Linked DNA regions of Mus musculus: regions 2 and 3 are each reported to be linked to region 1. The links are microRNA targets in miRTarBase. Many come from high-throughput screens and were not tested one by one. Region 1 holds a microRNA gene; each other region holds the end of a gene's coding sequence.

Region 1 (7,695 bases):
CTCACGACTTAATCGGATAGGATAAAAATCAACCTGAATCTTAAGTGTGGCAAACAGAAAAATATTTGAGACGTCCGGAGTCTGAGAGGTAGCTAAAATAACAAGGGGAGTTTTCTTCCACTACCAAGAATGGAACTAAGTACTCAGTGCCATGGGGCATGTTTGTGTGCAGGGAGCCCTGGGTCCCTGTAAAACAGAACAAAACCCCAGAATGACACAGACTTGCTGATACTGGCTCTCATGAAGCCATCACAACTTAGCTGTAATGGTTACACTTTAACACCTTTCTTCAATTGCAAACAGATGACTTAGGAAAAGCTATTGAGCCTGGTGTTCTCTTCTCTATTCTCACAACTTTCAGAAGGAAAAAGGAAAGTGAGAGCAGCTGGCATTGTGCACAGCAGGCCTCCGCCACTCACAGAATTTGAGGTCTCACCAAGACTACTTCTCACTACCTCTGGTCCAAGGCAAGACTATCTATCTGCTTTGCTCTCCTGGTCTTAGAAAACTCACCCATCTTCAAAAATATAAGTTTAACAAAGACATGAGGCAGAAGAAAGAATTACTGCAAAGGATCCAGAGACTGCAGCCTGACAGAGGTAAAGTGAGGCTCCTGGAGAGGTGGGGCTTCATAAAAAAGAAGCAACCTTAGCTCAAGAGAAGTGGGTATTAACCCAGGCTTTCCTTTTCTTTTTTTCACATTCATTCATCTATCTATCTATCTATCTATCTATCTATCTATCTATCTATCTATCTATCTATCTATCTATCTATCTAGATAAGGGCTCTCAATATGTAGCCCAGCTGGCCTTGAACCCTCAAGACTGCTTCCAAAGTGATCACTCCCCGCCCCCCATGTGTATGGTTGTTTTGTCTACATGTAAACTTGTGTACCACTTGCATGACTGGTGCCCTTGGAGGCCAGAGAGGGTGTCAGAATCCCTTAAAACTGGAATTAAAGATGCCACGTGGATGCTAGGATTTGAACCTGGGTCTTCTAGAAGAGAAACCAGTGGATTTTGTTGGTAGTGCTGGGTTGTTTGGTTGTTCTTGTTTTGTTGTGTTTTGTTTTGTACACAGGGTCTTACTATGAAACTCTGGCTATCCTGGAACTCACTGTGTAGACCAGGTTGTCCTTGAACTCAACTCAACTTGAACTCAACTCAAGGTTGCCTGCCTTTTGCTTTGCTACTGCTGGTATTAAAGATGTATACCACCAGACCCTGCTTAAAAGCCAGTGTTCTATTTCTCTGTATAGCTGTGGCTGTACTGAAACTCTCTATGTACTGAAACTCTCTATGTAGACCAAGCTGGCCTAAACTCAGAGATTTGACTGGCTTTGTACCGGAAGTCACTGTGATTAAAGGTATGTGCCATCACCACTAGACAGAAGCCAGGACTCTTAACTGCTGGCCTATTTCTCCAGCTCACTAACCCAGTCTTTTGAAAATGGTATAAGAGCCCAGCAGTTCTGGCTCAGAACTTGGGAGGCAGAGGCAGGCAGATCTCTGAGTTCAAGGCTACAAAGCGAGTCCCAGGACAGCCAGGGCTATACATGTAATTATTGTCTCAAAAGAAAAAAAAAAAAAAGAAAGAAAATGACCTAAGAAATGTAAGCTTTGAGCCGGACAGTGGTGGCGCACGCCTTTAATCCCAGCGCTTGGGAGGCAGAGACAGGTGGGTTTCTGAGTTCGAGGCCAGCCTGGTCTACAGGGTGAGTTCCAGGACAGCCAAGGCTATACAGAGAAACCCTGTCTTGAAAACAAAAACAACAAACAAACAAAAAGAAACGTAAGCTTCGTTTTCCCCACTTACTTTTTTTATCAGGTAGGCTATGCTATGTAGTCCCAGTGTACAGTCAAGTATAACCTTAAAGCTAATCCACCTACTACTTCCTAATTACAGGTGTGTGTCTTCATGTGCATATGATTTGAATTCCTAATGATGGTAATTTTTGATGAGGTCCTGTCTCAAAAAACAAAAAGAAACAAACCAAGACATTCACCAATTTTTGTATTTTGTTCATTAATTCATCTCAAGTGCACAGAGCAATGCCTGGCGAATCCCGAGCTCTCAATATTTGTTCAAAGTTGAGAATAAAGTTTAAAAAGAAATCTCTCAGCACGATGATTTATTATAACTGGATTTTGCATCTAAGTGGATTTTGTAGTGAGATTGTTCTACGATGATATTATTGCCAACCCACCCTCTCCTCTGACACACTGAAAACTGCCACCCTAGCCACACTGCTCTCTGGAATAAAGGACAAGAGCATTTCCTCTGCAACTGGGGAACTGTGCTGTCTGGCATAGGGAAGTCTTCTCAAGTATAGTCTAAGAGCCACCAACAGAAGTTGTTCTACTAACTCCTAGCTCCATACAGAAAGATCACCCCACAGAGCAGGCTCTGTTCTACAGCCACTTGGCTGTTCAAGTACCAAAATGGAGCCCTCAATGGGAACGAGTTTTCTTAATGGGAAAAAAAAAATCCTAACAGAAGGAAATGGTTGTGCCCCTTCATCCACACTCACAGCAACCACACAGGGCTAGCTGCCCACAAGTTGCAACTGGACCTTAATCTGGCATTGGTGACTGTTGTTGCAGCCAGAGTCTGGTATTCCTGGAAGGAATGGGAGCACACACCCCCACCCTCACAGAAGCCAAAATCCCTAATGGCAACCTGCCAAGTGGGAGAGCCAGTGTTCTTGTGGCCAGCAATGTCTAAGCACCTACACAGCCATGCTAACAACAGAATACAACCCAGGATTCTGCTCCTGACTCTTTCACTGGTTGCCTAGAAGATATGATCAAAGAAACCTTAAAACAGAAACACTGGGTCTTCCTGAGCAAGATAAAAGACAGGTTAAGGGAGAAAGGAGAGACCAGACCAGCTTTCAGGCACTGGAGTTCTGGAAAAAGAGGGAAGGCAGAACAAAGCCTGACCGTTTCAAACTTGCAAAGGAAGACCCACAACAAGGAAAGCTGGGGTATTCGGCAGGAGACAGAATGCCACTTAAAGGCATCACCATCATGCTGTAGTAGAGCCAGCTCTCCTCACTTCTGTTGTAGCTGGCCCCACTCCACCCTATGCCTTTACCTCTCAGGAGTGGGGAAGCCTGAGAATTCCCTTCATATCAGAAAACCAGCCAGTTTAAAGGCTCTAGAAGCCATTACTAATAATGTAACTTCATTCTAAGCTTTGCAAAGGACATGTTATAAATAACTCCCAGGTGCTAAGAAATGAGCTTCCTGGACAATGGGACTGGGCTTTGACCTTGTGATGCATTAAATACTGACTCTTGAAAAAGACCCTACAATCTTAGGACCATATTCAAAGGACTGAAAAGATCTATTCTTCCCTCTCACTCCCCAAATGGGCAGCTGCTAGAAAGCTTTCGAGACAAAGTTCTGTGATGCACTGACTTTCAGAGCCACAGCCTGAGTGTATAACAGAACTTCACCTCAAATGCTAAGGGTGCCTGTAAGTGGTGGGTAGGCAGACTGGCTGTGGGAGGAGGAGTGGCAGGGATAGATTTTCGTGTCTGCTTTTATTATCAAGAAAACTAGAAAGCTGTCTTTGGGACAGCTGAAACGTCATGCAGAAAGCACCTAGGCTGCTGCAACTAACTCTCTGATCTCCATCAGAGTCTCCAGAAACCTGGTGGGAACATCAAGTCTGGAGCACCAAGGCCTATACTGGGAAGGCTAGAGGAAGAAGATTCCTTCCCAGTGCTGCCCTCTGTGGACCTCCTGCCTGACACACAGCTTCCTCAGGATTACAGCCCAAGCAAACAGTGCCAGAAAGGCAATGGTTTGGGGCCTAAGCTGTTTGGGCAGAGTGCTCACCTAAGGTGTGAGACCTTGTGCTTAATCCACACACAAAACAAACCCCCACCAAACTCGATTTGTATGTATTTTGCATTTTAAATAAAACTAATACAAACAGGTTTGTAAAAGAAAACACGGAAAGCTAACGGTAGTGACACATGCTTGTAACCCTACATGCAGGAGGATCAGAAGTTCACGGTCATCCTCAGCAGCTTGTCAAATTCTAGGACAGGCTGGGACAAATGACCTTGTCTCAAAACAAATACAAACCAAACTACGGAATTAAGTCTATTGGCTTAACTAATATATATGGGATAGTAAGTGAATAGTTGGGTAAGATCACTGTATGAGATCAAAAAGCTTGGAGGAACAGTGTCTACATAGAGCAGAGAGACAGGATATTTTAGAACTACAAGTAACTATTTAAGTCTCTTAGGTCACAAAACCAAAAGGCCTAAGAATCCAAAGAAACAGCTCAGAGGTTAAGAGCGTTTGCTGCTCTTGCAGAGGACTCAGGTTCAGATCCCAGCTCCCAGTTCCAGGGAGTTCTGACACCCTCTTCTGGCCTCTGAAGGTACTGCATGCACACGGTGCCCATATATGCATAAAGACAAAACACTTGTATATATAAAATAAAACTGAACCGAAAAAAAAAATATATATATATATACACATGCATGCATGCATGCATGCATGCATGCATACATACATACAAACAAACAAAACAATATGGCTGAGATTCCTGGAAAGATCTGTGTTCCCTACTTACAAAGATATTCTTGGGATACAGTAAAATTCTTGGGCTTAGCAATAGATCTATTAATTAAAAACTGTAACAAGATGGTCTTTCAATCCTGCTTATAAAATGAAATGGCTGGTGAGATGGCTCAGTGGTTAAGAGCACCGACTGCTCTTCCAAAGGTTCTGAGTTCAAATCCCAGCAAACACATGGTGGCTCGCAACCATCCGTAACAAAAATCAGATGCCCTCTTCTGGAGTGTCTGAAGACAGCTACAGTGTACACACATATAATAAATAAATAAATCTAAAAAAAAAAAAAGAAACCTAGAGAGTTAAAACTAAGAGAGCCCTTCGTAGTACACACACCTGTAACCCAAGCACTTAGAAGGATGAGCAGGAGTTGAGAGGCCAATCTGGACCACATAGTGAGTTCTAGGCCAGCCTAGGATAGAGTGGGACCTTGTCTCAAAAGCAAAACAAAATTAGAAGGAGAAATTCCTAGATACCACTCCCAGCACCACAGGGCTATGCAGGTATTCTGTTACCTAACCCTGAGTTAAAATTTTTTAAAATTAAAAGGTATGCTGAGTTTGAGAGCTCTAATTTACTACAGAAGCCTACATAGTTCAGATGAAAAGAAGATTTAGCTAAGTTTTGACAAGGATAGCATTTAGATTTGGGAAACACAGCTGAGGGGCTTCAGGGGTGGATTCTGTGCTCAGAATATGCTTTAGACTGTGCCACAAACAAAATAATAAACACATTAAAAAAAGAAAGAAAGAAAAACTCACAGGGCTGAGGACATGGACCAACAGTTAAGAGTGCTTACTGCTCTTGCAGGTCTGGAGTTTGGTTCCCAGCATCCACATCAGACAGCTTATAACTGTCTGTGACTCTCAATTCCAGGGGATCTGACACCCTCTTCTGGCCTCCACAGGCACTCACACACAAGTGGCATTCACACATAGGGACACATTAAAAACCAAAACAACAAGAAGCCCAGAAAGTAAGACCCATGAGGCAAGCATAGCTGCACACATTTTTTTTTTTTTTTTTTTTTTTTGGTTTTCTTTTTTTTTTGGAGACAGGGTTTCTCTGTATAGCCCTGGCTGTCCTGGAACTCACTTTGTAGACCAGGCTGGCCTCGAACTCAGAAATCCGCCTGCCTCTGCCTCCTGAGTGCTGGGATTAAAGGCGTGCGCCACCACACCCGGCTGCACAAATCTTTTTTTTTCTTTTCTTTTTTTTTTTATTACGTATTTTCTTCAATTACATTTCCAATGCTATCCCAAAAGTCCCCCCTCCCCCCAACTCCCCTACCCACCCATTCCCATTTTTTGGCCCTGGCATTCCCCTGTACTGGGGCATATAACGTTTGCCTGACCAATGGGCCTCTCTTTCCAGTGATGGCCGACTAGGCCATCTTTTGATACATATGCAGCTAGAGTCAAGAGCTCCGGAGTACTGGTTAGTTCATAATGTTGTTCCTCCGATAGGGTTGCAGATCTCTTTAGCTCCTTGGATACTTTCTCTAGCTCCTCCACAAATCTTAATCGTAGCACTGAAGAGGTAGAAAAAGGGTGCTCTCTGAAAGTTCAGGGCCAGTCTAGTCTACATAAAGGGTTCCAGGCCTGCTGGGGCTATATAATGAGACCCTATCTTAAAAAGACCCATGGGTCCTGGAGAAATTATCTATCTTATATGAAACCAAATTTCGGTTGTAGAGGGGAAACTAAACACATATTCTGGAGGTACTGATGGCAGAAAGTCACAGTAGGAAGAATCTTCTTAGGAACTGAGACTATGGTTCTGTTATAGTATTTCCCTAGCATGCATGAGGCCCTGGGTTCAATCCTTAGTATTACTTAAAAACAGACATGGCATCACAGTCTGTAACCCTAGCAGTCAAGAGGCAGAGGTTTGAAGACTCAAAGTTCAAGATCATCAGCTACGTAAGTTCACAAGCCTCTGTCTACAAACAAACAAACCAAAAAAAAAAAAAAAAAAACCCCAAAACTGGAGTGATAGTTCAGCTGGTGGAAGTACTTGTGCATTTAATCACATGCACTGTCAGGGTAGCAAAGATCCCTTTTAGCCAGCCAGCCAGCCAAATCAAAAAGGTAATCAACAATAACAACTCAGCTAGGCAGTGAGTGGTAGGTGGATCTCTGGCCATCCTGGTCTATACAGCCAGTTCTAGGACAGCCAGGGCTACACAGAGAAACCTTCTCTCAAAACAATAACAACAACAAAACACAAAACAAATGAACAAAAACCAACTACATGGCTGGCTGCTGAGGAGAAATAGCACCCGAGGTTAGCCTCCACCCTCCACACATATGCACACACATTCATTATATCTGCACACGCATGCATGCACACACACACATCTTCCTACCCCATACAGACATACAGATAGGAAACATGGAGAGTCCAAGCATGGGGCAAAACTTCTGCTAGTTGAAGGAGCTGGCATCTCTGAATTCTGGGTAAGTTATTAACTCAAAATTTCCCCTCCCTTTCTCTGATACTCAACTTCCTCATAGGAGAAGTGAAAGGCTGGACCTAGATTAGCTAGGGTTATGGCCTTTTTTAAAAAAAAAAAAATTACAGCAGACCCTTGTGATAAGCTGATAAAAATTTCTGAACTTTGTCCCCAAAAAACAAACAAACACCCACACCACACAGGTGAGACTGAACTAGGTTTAAAATTCAATCCTCTGAAGATAAGATTATGTGAAGAGCCCGGTTTGGTGGCCAACATCTTTAGTCCCAACCCTTGGGAGGCAGAAGCAGACTGATCTCTGTCAGTCTAAGGACACACTGGTAGACGTAGTGAGATCTGGGCCAGCCACAGCTACATAGTGAGACCCTGTTCAAAAAAGCCAAACAGTCTTTTGAATGTGAAGAGGAAATGAATGATTTTCTGCCTTCAGTCAGTTAACAACTTCAATAAAAATATGTGGCCTTTGTAAGTTAATATGGCCAAGGATCTCACACAGCCAGCAGGGGGAGTAAGGGTCAGCACCATAAACCTCCAGCTTTCGGTGGCCTCCAGCTTTGGTGACCAAATTGTACAAGTTAACAAGCCTCAAGCTCTTAGGCAATGTAGAGTACCAGGTCTTTG
Region 2 (7,695 bases), not on the chromosome of region 1:
TAACTGTATGATATTTTAAAATAATATATCACTATTAGTTTTTTAAAAATCAACACAAATAGATCAAGTGAGCATAATTCTTATTATTCTGACACTAAGTCATTGAGTCTCATGGTCTCTGTAAAATGGTGTTGCTCTGGGGATCAAAAGAATCAAGGGATAAAAACTAGTCAATAGCCAGGGGTGGTGGAACATGTGTATAAAGGCAACATTAGAAGGCTGAGGCAGGAGGACTGCTGAGTTTGATGTCAGCCAGGACTGCAGTGAGGCTGCAAGGAGTACATCTCAACAACAACAACAACAACAACAACAACAACACAACAACACAAGACAATACTAATGAACTATTAAGTGACAATCAGTGTATACATACAGACTTATTGCTTCCATTTTAAAGTGAAAAAAATCCTTAAGAAATATTTTACTGAGCATTGGGGTTCCAGCCCAATCAATGGAATGGAAGGACATTAACTTCTACTTATCCTGTGCCTGATTTCAGTCTCATGGGGTGCAGAACGAAACAACCAAATTTACACATTGGGTAGTAAGGCTATGCGATTTTGCCCACACCACACATTCAGATTCTGATCTGTCAGACACACAGCCATACTGGATCTCAAGGGCATCCCTACCAGACCGTCGCTCCCGACCGCACTCCGGCAAAGGCTGCGTCACGTCCTGGACCTGCTTTTTCTCAACCTTTCCCTTCCCAACCTTTCGCACTGCCACATCTCACCTGGACCCCGCGACACCCCTCACCCGCCGCTTCTTCAACCGGAGAGCCCCCTGCTGAAAAGGAAGGAAGAAAACAATAGGGCAGGATACGCGCCAAACAACGAGATGGTTTTCAAGCTAGCGGAGGAACCGGCCAATCCGCGGCAGGCTGAGACGGAGACCCGCCTCAGCGCCAGGCGTCGCGCTCGCGGAGCCCGCAATTCCCTGTTCAAACCTCAACGGCTGCCAGGAGGCCAATCGCGACAGAGGCTGGAGAAGCCAACCAATCACAGCCCCGGGGGCGGGGCAAGCGGGCGAGGGGCGTGGCCCCGAGTCTGCGCTTTCCCGGCATCTCTACCGTAGTCGGCTAAGCATGGTCACCCGTTGTCTCTCCGCGGGCCGCCTAAAGCAGTCCAGCTTTTAACCATGTGGCGCCCGGCCCTGTACACTCCGGGAATATACTGCCCCAGCAAAACTCAGCTTGCCGTAGCGCCAGGCTCCCGTCCTCCACTTCCCTCACAGTTGAGGACGCGCAAGGGACAGGAGAGAGCTTATTTTAACGGAATTTCGGTTTGGGGGCGTCCTTTCCTGCGACAACAAACACCGCAGCGGTTCCATTCTTCCAGGGGCTAAACCGGAAGTATTTGACTGGACGCGCCTCACAGGCCGGAACTTGGAGGGCGGGGCTTGTGGCTGTGCGAGCCACCTTGGGATGACTCCCTAAGCTACCTGGGTAAGGCCCAAAATGGCTCCTCTTACTGTCACTACCGTGTGAGTCCCGCCTGGGACTGTAATCTGTGTCTTGGCTTTGGAATTCACACCCGCTCCCCATTTTTCCGGCTGGTTTGCTGCCCCTACTGAGGCGGACAGGCTAGAGTAATGGCAGGGAGTGTCCCTTGGGCGGCAAGTAGGAGACTGTGGGGCTGGGTGCCCTCGGCATGCCGAAGCTTCTCTCTGGGTAAGTGGCTTAAGTGTAGTAGGACGGCCGGCTAACGGCTTGTCACTGGGCAGTGCTGATTCATGCTTCTGTCCTTCCCTAGGCGTCCCACGGTTGGCCTTCGTAAGGCTCACTCTTCCACCTCCCAAAGTGGTTGATCGCTGGAACGAGAAGAGGGCTCTGTTTGGCGTCTACGACAACATTGGAATCCTGGGTAGGACGCGATTCCTGGTTTCTGAAGGATTAGTATGCTCTCTTGACTCTTTCGGTTTTATTTGTGGAGAGAATAGTAATGTGCCCGGGGCAAGCCTGGGGGCACAAACCTGTTACACGGGAGATGAAGCCAGGCAAGACCAGTCTGAGATGCGGAGAATAGTGAGGAGTGCGGGACTCAGTCTCACTAACACAGTAGTGGGCAGGTCTGAGGGCCAAAGCGAGTAAATGGGAGTGTCAGTATTTGAACCCAGACATTTCTGGCTGCAAAGTCTTTACTCCTTTCTTTCTTTCTTCTTTTTTAAATAAGATTTTTGTGTTTTCTGAATGTGTACCGTGTACTGCTCAAGCAATGCCTGCAGGTTCAGGGTGACTTCCTAGAACTTCCCTTTCAGGCAGTCGTGAACCTTCAGTTGAGAGTGCTGGGGAATCCTTTGGAAGAGCAAGTGTTACAAAGACTCTGTCCCTTGTACTAGACTGGTGTGTGCCTTGTCTGTCAGTAGTTCTGATCAGGGAGATGAAACTGTGTTGAAGGCCTAGTTGGGCTAGGCTGACTTCTCTTCTCTTGAAACTAGTATATATTCTGTCACGTTACAGGGAATTTCGAGAAGCACCCAAAAGAACTGATCAAGGGCCCAGTATGGCTTCGAGGCTGGAGAGGAAATGAATTGCAGCGTTGTGTCCGAAAGAAGAAATTTGTGGGAAACAGGATGTTCATTGAGGACCTGCATAACCTTAACAAACGGATCAGCTATCTCTACAAACACTTTAACCGACATGGGAAGTACAGATAGGACGGGAAATGTGTCACCCTGGAGAAGGGGAACAGGACTTATCCCAGCAAGGAGAGAGCTTTGTGTGCTCGATGTAATAAAAAAATGGGGCTCCTTTGGAATCTGATATGCCCAGTGCTACATTTACTCATGCACTCTGACGTCTGCCTCGTTCCTAAGTCACATGATCTTTTGTTACTATTACTTACAGCCCAGTTATGCTTGTGGCCTTTATAACAATCATTTATTGCTGGCACTTTCTGACACTGGCACCTCGTGTAAGTTTTTAAAGAATTTATTTTTATTTATTTTATCTTATTTTTTTGTAATCTTGGAGCTGAAACCCAGGGACTTGCTCATTCTAGGGAACTCTGCCACTAGCCGCCCAGGCCCTTGGAAGTGTAGCTGCTATTTCTAAAGACTCTGCCACCCCAAAATGAACTAGGAAAGTGAAATTACACTTTGTACTGCTCTTATCAGTTATAAGTTAGGGAACTTGTCTGAGTACCACAGCATTTCCCATCCTCTTGAATAGGGCAGTTTTGTGGAGGCTGACCTTGAGTCATGCCCAGTTTTATGAAGTGTTAAAGATCACACCCAGTATTACCCCTGTGTGTGCTACCCTGTTTGCTTTTTTTTTTTTTTTAGGGGAAAAAAATGTCATTTAAGAAAGATATTTTAGGGCTGGTGAGATGGCACTGACTGCTCTTCTGAAGGTCCTGAGTTCAAATCCCAGCAGCCACATGGTGGCTCACAACCACCCATAATGAGATCTGACGCCCTCTTCTGGTGCATCTGAAGTCAGTCACAGTGTACTTATTTTTAATAATAAAAAAGTCTTTGATCATTGGACCAGAGCAAGTGGAGTTGACCAGAGAGAGCAAGGTCAACTGAGGCAGCAGAGGTCCTAAATTCAATTCCCAACAACCACATGAAGCCTCACAACCATCTGTACAGCTACAGTGTACTCACATACATTAAATAAATCTTTTTTTAAAAAGAAAGATATTTTAATACAGGTTTGAGCATCAGGGCTATGAGAGAGGTGTTCAGAGGTAAAACACTTGAGAGCATGAGTGTGGGCTTCCCTGAGAGACTCTTCTATATGGCATAGTGCTGGCGTCTTGGATATACCAAGTACTTTATAGTGAGCTATAGACCCTCTGCTGCACTTTGCTTTTGTTAGTATATATTACAAAAATAATAGGTTTTGCTATGACATTCTTCATTTACTTCTTTTGGTTTTTTGAGATAGGGTTTTCTCTATGTAGCCTTGGCTATCCTGGAACTCAGTATGTAGACCAGGCTAGCCTTGAACTCATGGAGATAATACCTTAGTGTTGGATCTAAGGCTTAAGCCACCACATTTTCCACAGGTTTTTGAATTTATGTTTCAATTGAAATCAATTCAGTGAGAAGTCTGGAGATGACAGAAAGGTAATCCAGGGAATTTTTCTTGCATTTTTTTTTTTTTTTTAAACAGTCTTGGGGCTGGAGAGATGATTCCAGCCATCTCCCAGGGATGCTCTTGCAGGTTGCCCAGGTTAATTCCCAGCTCACACATGGTGACTCAAGGCTGACTATACTTCCAGTTTCTGGGCTTCCCATGGAGACAGGCATGCACATGTGCACAGGCATAGCTGCATGTATTATTGCATGTAAAACATGAAATAATAATAATAAGCCGGGCGGTGGTGGTGCACACCTTTAATCCCAGCACTCAGGAGGCAGAAGCAGGTGGATTTCTGAGTTCGGCTATACAGAGAAATCCTGTCTCGAAAAAACAAAACAAACATAAAAACAAAAACAAACAAACAAACACCAAAAACCTATAGTCTCTCAAAGTCAGGCTCAGGCTGGCCTGGAACTCTTATAGCTCAAACTGGGACCCATCCTCCTGCCTCTACCTCCAGAGTGACAAGATTATATGTGTGAGTCCTTGTATCCAGCTTCAAACTACTGTTTAATCCTCATATTTAGTGGCCATGTCCAAGGCTATATAATACCTACTTCTTTTTATAAAAAAGTATTGCCGGGCGGTGGTGACGCACGCCTTTAAAACCAGCACTTGGGAGACAGAGGCAGGAGGATTTCTGAGTTTGAGGCCAGCCTGGTCTACAGAGTGAGTTCCAGGACAGCCAGAGCTACACAGAGAAACCCTGTCTTGAAAAAAACAAAACAAAACAAAAAAGTATTACAGAGACACACAGGCAAACAAAGCAGAGCTTGGGGATTCTCTTGGAAGAGTGGGGGGAGGGACTGTAGGAGCCAGAGGGGTCAAGGACATCACAAGAAAACCCACAGAATCAACTAACCTGAGCCCTTAGGAGCTCACAGAAACTGAACTGCCCACCAGGGAGCTTGCATGGGACTGAGCTAGGCCCTCCACACATTGTGGTTGGGAGGAGTCCTAACAGCAGGAGTAGGAGCTCTGATTATCCCCTGCTTCTGCTGCCTGCCTTTAGGACCCTTTCCCCACAACCGGCTGCCTTGCCCAGCCCTAATAGAAGAGGTGCCTTGTCTTACTGTACTTGATATGCCATGGCTGGTTGATAGCCACTGAGGCCTGACCTGGGGAGAACAGGGGAGTGGGGATCTGGGTGTGGGGAGGAAAAGTGGCAGGGAGAGACTATGGAGGGAGGGAAGCTGTGGTTGAGAGGGAAGCTGTGGTTGGGATGTAGAATAAAATTTAAAAATGTTAAAAGTATTGCAAATCCAAGAAAATGAATTGCTTGTAGACTCAAGTGAGCTCTGAAGGTAGAAAAATTAGGGTGGTTATCCTATTTGATTTAAATCTAAGTTCTGTGTCAATGATCTTTTATGACGTAACAGTCCATTCTTAAACTCAATGACTAAAACAACTTCAAATCATTTTCTCTGGGTTTTCTTCTTCAGATGGTTAATCTAGTTTGCTGTCACGAGGCCATATTCAGCAGTGGGCTAACACGCCTGAGACATCTTCACTCACATCTACTTAGTCAATTGGTAGTTTGGGTTGTTTTTGTTTTTTTGAGAACCAAATCAGGGCCACTGCAAGAACAGCAAGTGCTTGTAACCTCTGAGCCATCTCTCCACAGCCCCAGCTAAGTTCTTTTGGCACAAGGTCTTATTATTCAGCCTCTCTTGGGCTTGGTTGCTTAGAGACTTGATCCCAAAGGACAAAATTTAAATAACAAGGGTTGATAAAACGAGGCTAAGAAGTCTTGAGGTCTTCAGGCATGGAGGCAAAAACCTTTGAACCCAGGACTGATCCCTGGAGACAGAGGCAGGCCTGGTCTACATATCAAGTTCCAGGCTTGGCTACACAGTGAAATCCCATCTTTAAAAAAAAAAAAAAGAAAAGAAAAAACAAAAAAGCCATGAAGCGCGGTGGTCACCCCTTTAATCCCAGCACTTGGGTAGCAGAGGCAGGTGTTTCTCTATAAGCTCAAGGTCAGCTTAGTCTACAGAACAAGTTTCAGCACAGCCAAGGCTACACACACACACACACACACACACACACACACACACACACACACACACACAAACCCTGTCTTGAGAAACCAAAGAGGAGGGGGAAAGGTAGAAAAGGAAGAGGAAAATGTTTTAATACAATCTCACAAGTGTTAGTGAAGAAGGAACTAACAAGTCAGCCCCAGAAGCCCGTATAAAATTCTTCCTGCTGTCAGTTACAAAAAGTCTTATTTTTCAAGCACAGAGCTGGATTGTTTTTGTAATGAAAAAGAATGCAACATTTCCCTTCAACAAACACTGAATCATTGTGTGGAAGGACCTTGGAGGCATATACACCACAAACCAAGGCTACACCACTGCCTGTAAAAAGATTTCATCCGTCAGGTACAGGGTGCGTATGTAAACAAGATGCATATCTGAATTCGGTAATTGCGTGGGAAAAATATTGTTGCAGCATGAGTTTTTGTTTTTAGGTTTATCCATTTACTGTGTACACAGTGTTCTGCCTACACGTAGGCCTGCACACCAGAAGAGAGCACCAGATCTCATTATAGATGATTATGAGTCACCATGTGGCTCCTGGTAATTGAATTTAGGATCTCTGGTAGAGCAGCTCTTAACCACTGAGCCAGCTTTCCAGTCCCACATGAGGTTTTTGTTTTTGTTTTGTTTGTTTGTTTTTAAAAGGGGGTGAGAAAATTGTGTGTGCACATGCATGCACGTGTGTGTGTGTGTGTGTGTGTGTGTGTGTGTGTGTGTGTGTGTGTGTGTGTGTGTGACTGTGGATTGAAGTGCTTGAAGTAGGTCTTGGAAAGGGTCAGTGCTAGGAATTCAATGGGAAATGACTATATAGACACAGGCAGGAAGGAGTCCCTAACCAACCCCAGGGGAGCAGGTAGAGGGCAGGGAAGGCTTCCTGTAGGTGATCAGATCACCACTAATTTATCCTAAAGGAATGTTAAAAGTGGGGAGGGGGTGCAGAGGGAGGTAACAATTTTTTTTTTTTCAGGCAAATGATGCAGAGCAAAATGGCACAGATGTGAGAAATAGCATGGAGCCAGCACACAGCAAGGCTACAAGTAGTATTTGTTAGTGGAACTACTTTGTGTGCCTAAAGATAAGCTGAGAAGTTAAGAGTCAGAGCACGAGGAAACCTACATTTAGTAAAATGATCTAGCCACTTTGGGAAATCCACAGCTGCCCAAAAAGCTAAACACAGAGTTACGTATGGATCGGTAATGTCACTCAGAGGTGTCACCCAAGAGAATGGAAGCGTGTCTGTTCCACAAGAGCAGAAAGGGCCATGCTAGTGCAGGCCATTATGGTGGCCACAAGAGGAACCCAACCAAACCAATGCCTACCTGCTAGCAGAGCCCCGTGGGCCAGGTGCCTAGGAGGTAGAGCAGGAGGATCAGGAGTTCCAGGCCTTCTTCAGATACATAGTGAGTCTGAAGGACGCCTGAGTTTGGTCCCTGGAACTAATTAATCCCTCATGGAAGAAGGAGAGAACCAACTCTTGCAAACTGATCTCATTTCCATATGTGCATGCCTGCCCCCCAAATAAATTAATGTTTTAAAAGGACAAATGTCCAGCAATTGATTTAA
Region 3 (7,695 bases), not on the chromosome of region 1:
CCCCAGTGTCCCAAAGATGGAATACCACTAGTTGTTCTTCTAGAGGTCCTGAGTTCAATTCCCAGCAACCACATTGAGGCTCATAACCATCTGTAATGGGATCTGATGCCCTCTTCTGGCATGCAGGTGTGCATGCAAATAGAGCAATCATTTATTTATTTAGGTTTTTTTGAGTCTGGGTCTCACTATGTAGCTCTAGCTGTCCTGGAACTTAGTTTGTAGGACAGGCTGGCCTTGAATCACAGATTGCCTCTGACTCCAGAATACTGGGATTAAAGGTGAGTGAGTGCCTTCCACACCCACCTTGGAAGAAGGATTCCTGATTGAGAAAAGGCCTCTGCTGGGCAGAGGTGTTACATGCCTTTAATTCCAGCACTTGGGAGGCAGAGGCAGGCGGATTTCTGAGTTCGAGGCCAGCCTGGTCTACAAAGTGAGTGCCTGGACAGCCAGGGCTACACAGAGAAACCCTGTCTTGAAAAAAATAAACAAAAATAAATAAATAAAATTAATAAAAATGTGGTACAGACCCAAACAGAGAATTCTCAACAAATGAATCTTAAATGGCTGAGAAGCACTTAAAGAAATGTTCAGCATCCTTAGTTATCAGGTAAGGACAAATTAAAATAACTCAGATTTCATCTTACACTCATCAAAATGGCTGAGAAAAAAAAATCTCAAGTTCCATTTCATCCTGGCAAAAATGTGGAGCAAGGGGAACACTCCTCCACTGATGGGAGTGCAAACTTATACAACCTCGTTGGAAATCAATTGGGTAGTTTCTCAGAAAACTTGGAATAGACCTATCTCAAGATCCAGCTATAGACCCAAAAAATACTCAACCGACTATAAGGACACTTGCTCAACAAAGTTTTTAGTAGGTTTATTCATAATAGCCAGAAACTGGAAACAGCCAAAGAATGGATAAAGAAAATGAGGTACCTTTACATAATTGAATATTACTCAAATATTAAAAACAATGATATCATTAAATGTGTGGGCAAGTAGATGAATCTAGAAAAGATCATCCTGAGTGAGATAACCCAGACCCAGAAAGACTATTAGCCACAAAGTACAGGATAACTATTCTACAATCCACAGACATGAAGCTAAGAAACAAGTGGGGATCAAGTTCTCAGGGAGGACTGGAGGGAGAGAGTATGGGAGAGATGACTGGAATTGGATAACTTCTGGAGCTGATGTAGAAATCTAGTAATGGAGCTGAGCGTAGTGGAACACGCCTTTAATCCCAGCACTCGGTAGGCAGAGGCAGGCAGATTTCTGAGTTCGAGGCCAGCCTGGTCTACAGAATGAGTTCCAGGACAGCCAGGGCTACACAGAAACCATGTCTTGAAAAACCAAAAAAAAAAAAAAAAAAAAAAAAAAAATCTAGTAAAAAGTAAAATCCCTGGAATCTACAAAGGTGACCCCAGAGACCACTCCCAGTAATGGAGGATACAGAGCCTGAACCAGCCATATTCTATAACCAAGTGACTTACAGTGGTAGGGTTGCAACATGAACACAGCTAATGCCCTTAGACCTACAACCTATCCTGCCAGAAAGATGTGCTGGGGCAATGAAGGAGAACTAATGTGGCCAACTAATGAGTGGTCTAATTCGAAGCCCACAAGAGAGGAAGCCCATGCCCAACACTGCCTGGATCATCAAGAACTGGAGTCTGGATAGCCAAGGACCTAGGGTAGGAAAAATAAGTCAATGAAATGATCCCTAGTGGTATTCTGCTATACTCAAAGATTGAGGCCTAGTTCAATAGTCATCAGAGACACTTTCCCTAGAAGCTGATTAGAACCAATGTAAAGACTGACAGCCATGCATGAGATGTAGAGAGAGCCCAAATTGGAGCACTCCATTAGGTCCCTCCCCTCAGAGATCTAGGAACCCCATGGAAGAAGGGGGAGGAAGAATTATAAGAGTCAGTGGGGTCAGAGACACTAGGATAATACAGCAAACAGAAGCAACTAAATAAGGGTCCTGGGGGTTCACAGAGACTGAAGCAGCAACCCTGGAACATTGGTATGTGCTTAAGTTATATCTGCATGTTATGGTTTTTGGTTGGTTGGTTTTTTGAGACAGGGTTTCTCTGTATAGCCCTGGCTGTCCTGGAACTCAACTGTATAGACTCAGAAATCTGCCTGCCTTTGCCTCCCAAGTGCTGGGATTAAAGGCACCACTGCCCGGCATGTTATGGTTTTTAGCTTGGAGTTTTTGTAGGACTAGTAACAGTGAAGTAGATATCTGGCTCTTGTCTGCTCTTGAGACCCATTTCCTCCTACTGGGTTGCCTTACCCAGGCTTGGACTGGGAGAAATGAAAGGAGAAGCTATGATCTGACAGTATTATAAGAATAAATTTTAAAATGTATATACATGAGCTTTGTGTTTTACCTTATTAGATATGAGTTCAAAAGAACCACAATAGTTAAATAGGAAAGGATTTATACTCTATATGCTCTAAATGTGGCCAAGGTGAAGGCCATTTGCCCACAAAAGTACATTTGAGGAGCTTGGGCCTGGACATAAGCCACAGAGCTGCCCTGACTGCTAAACTGATTTGCTTTTTAGCTCTCATTTATTAATTTAAGGCAATTTCATATATTGTATATGCACCCATGGGCCCTCCTTCAAATCCCTCTTCCTTGTGTGCCTATTTAGAAGCAGATGTTCTGGTGCTCTGGCTCTTAGGATGTATCTGCCTCTTCCACAAGGTTTCCTGAGGGTTACATGAGCTGTTATATTGTCAATGCATCAAGTGAGGTTTTATGACTGGAATGTAAACTTTCCAGAAATTGGGGGATTTAGAAATTCTCCAGAATCCTGTACATGATATAAATGCAACCCCAACATTTGCTTTCTCTTTTTCTAATAAAAAAATGAGAAAAAACAAAACACCTCATCCCCTTTGAGCTTAATGCTTCTATGTTTTGTGATCTTATTGAACTGCATGCCTGGTGCTAAGTAGTAGTCGCATGGCATTTCTTATGTCTACTGTGTTCTTAGTCTTTTCTAAAATATTTGCAATATGCTTCCTAAAGGAGCAACCTAAGTTCTCATGTCTCTGCACAGTCCTTGGTGTAATATTCTGGTCAGAGCCTAGGTGTCACAGAAGTCAAATGGTCAATGGAGTCAAATCTTATGTTGGGATATTAAGAAGTATAACTTTATGCCTTTCGAAGCAACATGAGAAAGCAGAGGGAACTAGACTGGCTAACCAAAAAAATTTGAGGCTTCATTTCTGAAAGTCTAGAATCATGAAAGAAAATGGCCTTGGATGGGCATTACAATCTACTTCTCTCAGTGTTCTCAGGTGCACACGACCCTCTTTTTTTAAGATTTATTTATTATATGTGTGTACACTGTAGCTGTCTTCAGATACTGAAGAAGAGGGCATCAGAATTTTTTTTACGGATGGTTGTGAGCCACCATGTGGTTGCTGGGATTTGAACTCATGACCTTTGGAAGAGCAGTCGGTGCTCTTAACCGCTGGGCCATCTCACCAGCCCCACACACGACCCTCTTGCAAATGACCAAGGAGGGGTTTCCAGAAGAGAGAACCTGTTGAATGTCAAAAGACATTTGTGTGCTCTCTGAGACTGGAAGAATATTCAATATTTAAAGCTGTTTTATGTTGGAGACAATTAAAGTTTTTTCAAGTGTGTCCCCAACATAAAACAGGTTTAAAATAAAGGACGTGAAAGAGGGGGAAACTCACTTTCCTTTTTTTCAGGAAAAAAAAATCCCTCTCTGAACGATGAGAGCCTGTTTGTTGTTGTTGTTCTATCCCAGTTGGTAAATAATTATTTGTTTAGATCAAATAGGGATTCAAGCTTTTATTGATCAACAAATCTGCCTACAGTAGATCTCTGTGCCTCTGCCTGACGTCATTAACTTAGAATCACACAGATACAGAATATTTAAATGGTGCTGGAACTCTGGGAACTCTGCATCCTGAGTTCTAGGTCTACACTAGATCCAAGATTCTAATTAGTAATTCTCACAAATATGCAAAAACAAAAAGCAATAACTACTTTGAAAGTAAATGTTTGGCCTGGTGAGATGGCTCAGCAGGTAAGGGCACACTGACTGCTCTTCCAGAGGTCCTGAGTTCAAATCCCAGCAACCACATGGTGACTCACAACCATCCATAGTGAGATATGACGCCCTCTTCTGGTGTCTAAAGACAGCTGCAATGTACTTACACATAATAAATAAAATATTTTTAAAAAAGTAAATGTTCTAGGAGGAACAGGTGGACCACAGATAAGAAGCAGTCACCCATCTTTTACATTTAATATCATTTTATATTTTTTAAATTTATTTATTTATTATATGTAAGTACACTGTAGCTGTCTTCAGACACACCAGAAGAGGACATCAGATCTCATTACAGATGGGTGTGAGCCACCATGTGGTTGTGGGGATTTGAACACAGGACCTTCAGAAGAACAGTCCCTTAACCAAGAGTCAGTGCTCTTAACCTCTGAGCCATCTCTCCATCCCTTAATATCATTTTAACATGTCTTAGTTAGGGTTTTACTGCTATTAACAGACACCATGACCAAGGCAAGTCTTATAAAGGACAACATTTAATTAGAGCTGGCCTTCAGGTTTAGAGGTTCAATCCATTATCAAAGTGGGATCATGGCAATATCTAGGTAGGCATGGTAAAGACCCAGATGAGAGTTCTACATCTTCATCTGAACGCTGCTAGTGGAAGACTGACTTCCACACAGCTAAGATGAGAGTCTTAAAGCTCACACCCACAGTGACTCACCAACTCCAACCGGGCCACACATTCTAATAGTGCCACTCCCCTGGCCAAGCATACACAAACCATCACAATAAAGAGGGGACACATTATCATAGAAGTACTAGAAAAGCACTAGCATACTGGATTCCTATGATTATGTGTAGACAGCAGAGAAGAAAGGCCTGACAGCACAATGGAAAGTTCCAGGAGAGTAGCTGAGTATGAGGGAACTCTTGGCTACATCCACGAAACTTACATATCCACCCTCACAATCAAGGAACACGCCAACTTGGCCAACTGGCTTCTCTATATAGTGTTCACCTCCTATGCGGGTGATGAGAATGTAATGATCGTCCTTTCTCAAACACTCAAGAAATAGATCTGTGGGTGTCGCCACATAGCTTCTCCCCCTTAACCAGGGATCCTTACAGACTCCTACAGTCCACCGCCTATAGTCCTTCAAATCCACCTCCCAGTAGTATTTTCCCCTGGAGAAGCTCTTTTTTCCCCAGGAAACACGATGGGTTTCAGCTGAATCCAGAGATGTGCTTTCATGGAGAAGTCTGATATCAAAAGGTCTGAGTGAGGTGTAGCCGAACATGATTGAATGTTTAAAGGAAATCTTCACTGTGGGAAGAAAAGCCAACATTTTAGTTAAACCAACTGTTTACAGTTGTCAGGTGAATGAGGTCCCTAGAGATTTCCTGGTTTTAAAAATAGAAAGGCTAAGACTGGAAGGGTAGATATAGCCCAGATAAATAAATAAAAGTCAAGAAGTTCCCCCAAGAAACAGTGAGTACATAATGAAAACGTTTTTGAAAATCTGTAGAAGCTGCAGAGGAGGAAGCCACAGCACAGTTCTGTCAGGAGCTTTTCATTACCACTGAGCAACAGGAGGTGTGCAACACAATGAGGACCGCTGTGAAGGCTGTACCCCTGAGTCTCCATGAAAAGTTATTCCTAAGTCATGTCATGATTGCTTGCATCTTAGTGTTTTGATTTTCATTCCACTAAGCAGATATGTACTCAAGACAAATCTAAACATGCATTAGAAGTTGTCCCCTAATAGCAATTGTCTGCCTTTTACTAAGCCCTGGTTCCTCTGATATTCTTTCCCTGTGATGACAATCCATATTTAGATCTCCCAGTGTGATTCTGACTGCAGTGTCTTATCAACTCGTTTTATTTTTATTGCCTATGATATATGAATTTGTCTATTTGGGTTTTTTTTAATGATCATTTCTGTAGTTTCTTTGAGATGGGATTTCTTGCTATATATCCTTGACTGGCATGGAACTCACTATGTCAATCTGTCTGGCCTCAAACTCTTGGGCAATCCTCCTGATTCCATGTTTTTCATGCTGGGGTTACAAGTAGGTGCCACTATATCTTGTGAATTTTAATAATTTTTTAAAGATTTATTTATTTACTTCATGTATGTGAGTACATTGTCACTGTCTTCAGACACATAAGAGGACATCAGATCCCCATTACAGATGGTTGTGAGCCACCATGTGGTTGCTGGGAAGTGAACTCAGGATCTCTGGTAGAGCAGTCAGTGCTCTTAGCCACTGAGCCATCTCTCCAGCCCGTGAATTTTTAATCTATGGAGTATAATATACTTTAAAATTCAACTGGTAGCTGAGCATGGTTTCACATGTGTTTAATTAAAGCATTTAGGAGCCAGAGGCAGGTGGATCTCTGTGAGTCTGAGCCCAGCCTGGTTTACAGAGCTAGTTCCAAAACAGCCAGGGGTACAAAGATAAATCATAGCCGGCCGTGGTGGCATACACCTTTAATCCCAGCACTCTGGAGGCAGAGGCAGGCAGATTTCTGAGTTCAAGGCCAGCCTGGTCTACAGAGTGAGTTCCAGGTCAGCCAGGGCTACTCATCCCAGGAAACCGTCGCGATCATAAACAAGGTATGCCACAAGCGCACAGGGTGGAGTGCGTGGTGACGGGAGGGAATGATATCTCGTTTGGAACAAGGTGGACAGAATAAGAACCTAGCTTGGGGACGGGGATGCACGGTCTCTCCCTCTGTCGTGTCCGTCTTTATGCTTTAATGACCAGGGCTACAGGGTGTGTTTGTCTCGAAACACACCCCCCCCTCCAAAAAGATAAATCATGACTCCAAAATGAAAAAAAAAAATCAACTGCTAAAATATTTAATAGAAAACATACAGTGCTGGAGAGATGGCTCAGCGGGTAAGAGCACTGACTGCTCTTCCGAAGGTCCTGAATTCAAATCCCAGCAACCACATGGTGGCTCACAACCATCCGTAATGAGATCTGATGCCCTCTTCTGGGGTGTCTGAAGACAGCTACAGTGTGCTTACATATAACAATAAATAAACCTTTAAAAAAATATATTCACTGTGCAAAGTTTATCTCACTGTTGAAGGGCACCTCTGGTCATTATATCAGTCCTGACACTCACCTCGGAAGGAGTTGAGCCTTGCAGTCAGCCCAGGAATGGAATGGGCACGGAGTCTTGGTATCATACCCTGTGGCATGTCCAGCTTTGCCGCTAGCTTACTCCTGCAAGGAGAAGACATTGATATGCTAAGATTATCATCCCAGTGATGAGGAGAAATCTTCACTCAGAGCTAAGTAAGACTCAGGGGTTAAAACCCTTGCCATACAACCTGACAACTGAACTTCAATCCCAGGATCCCATGGTGTAAGGAGAAGACTGACTGAGAGTGGTCCTCTGCCCTGCACACATGTGCACTCACATAGGTATTCATAGAAATTGAATTTTTATAAAAGTAAACACTTACCTGAACATTTTTCACACAAAACATTTTCTGATATTAAAGAAACCCCATGATCAGGAGACAGGGTAGTTTCCTCTTAGATGCTGTTTCTGAAGCCCTCCTGCTACCAATTCCGTTCTTCCCATGCTTCCAGCCCCTTTCTTCTACTACCA

What was found. Region 1 holds the annotated microRNA mmu-miR-148b-3p (UCAGUGCAUCACAGAACUUUGU, at 3,400-3,421, opposite strand). A microRNA usually pairs through its seed, bases 2 to 8, with sites in the 3' UTR of a target mRNA and lowers its output. Matches are read on the target gene's strand: a 7mer-m8 pairs with bases 2 to 8, a 7mer-A1 pairs with bases 2 to 7 and ends in A, and an 8mer does both.
Region 2: miRTarBase lists Mrpl51 as a target of mmu-miR-148b-3p. Seed matches in the 3' UTR shown: 7mer-A1 at 3,333-3,339.
Region 3: miRTarBase lists Trim43b as a target of mmu-miR-148b-3p. Seed matches in the 3' UTR shown: 7mer-A1 at 4,479-4,485.

The regions. Positions count from the first base shown.
Region 1 is chr15:103,280,911-103,288,605 of GRCm38, reverse strand. It overlaps Mir148b (microRNA 148b), which reads right to left and starts at 3,481; the gene lies at 3,385-3,481. The region is part of intron 1 of Copz1 (coatomer protein complex, subunit zeta 1); the gene reads right to left. It overlaps Gm41406 (a long non-coding RNA gene), which reads left to right. Exons shown (of 5, transcript XR_003951562.1): 4 at 362-599; 5 at 1,906-2,244.
Region 2 is chr6:125,190,762-125,198,456 of GRCm38, forward strand. Mrpl51 (mitochondrial ribosomal protein L51) reads left to right here and starts at 1,439. Exons shown (of 3, transcript NM_025595.3): 1 at 1,439-1,672; 2 at 1,755-1,865; 3 at 2,462-3,631. The coding sequence starts at 1,594. The coding sequence ends at 2,658. Mir3098 (microRNA 3098) reads left to right here and starts at 5,031; the gene lies at 5,031-5,117. It overlaps Ncapd2 (non-SMC condensin I complex, subunit D2), which reads right to left and starts at 825. Exons shown (of 32, transcript NM_146171.1): 1 at 737-825. Gm52878 (a long non-coding RNA gene) reads left to right here and starts at 5,973. Exons shown (of 2, transcript XR_003956366.1): 1 at 5,973-6,481; 2 at 7,100-7,695.
Region 3 is chr9:89,080,326-89,088,020 of GRCm38, forward strand. It overlaps Trim43b (tripartite motif-containing 43B), which reads right to left. Exons shown (of 7, transcript NM_001170884.1): 6 at 7,204-7,304; 7 at 4,299-5,391. The coding sequence ends at 4,919. Gm40542 (a long non-coding RNA gene) reads left to right here and starts at 7,157. Exons shown (of 2, transcript XR_870985.3): 1 at 7,157-7,376.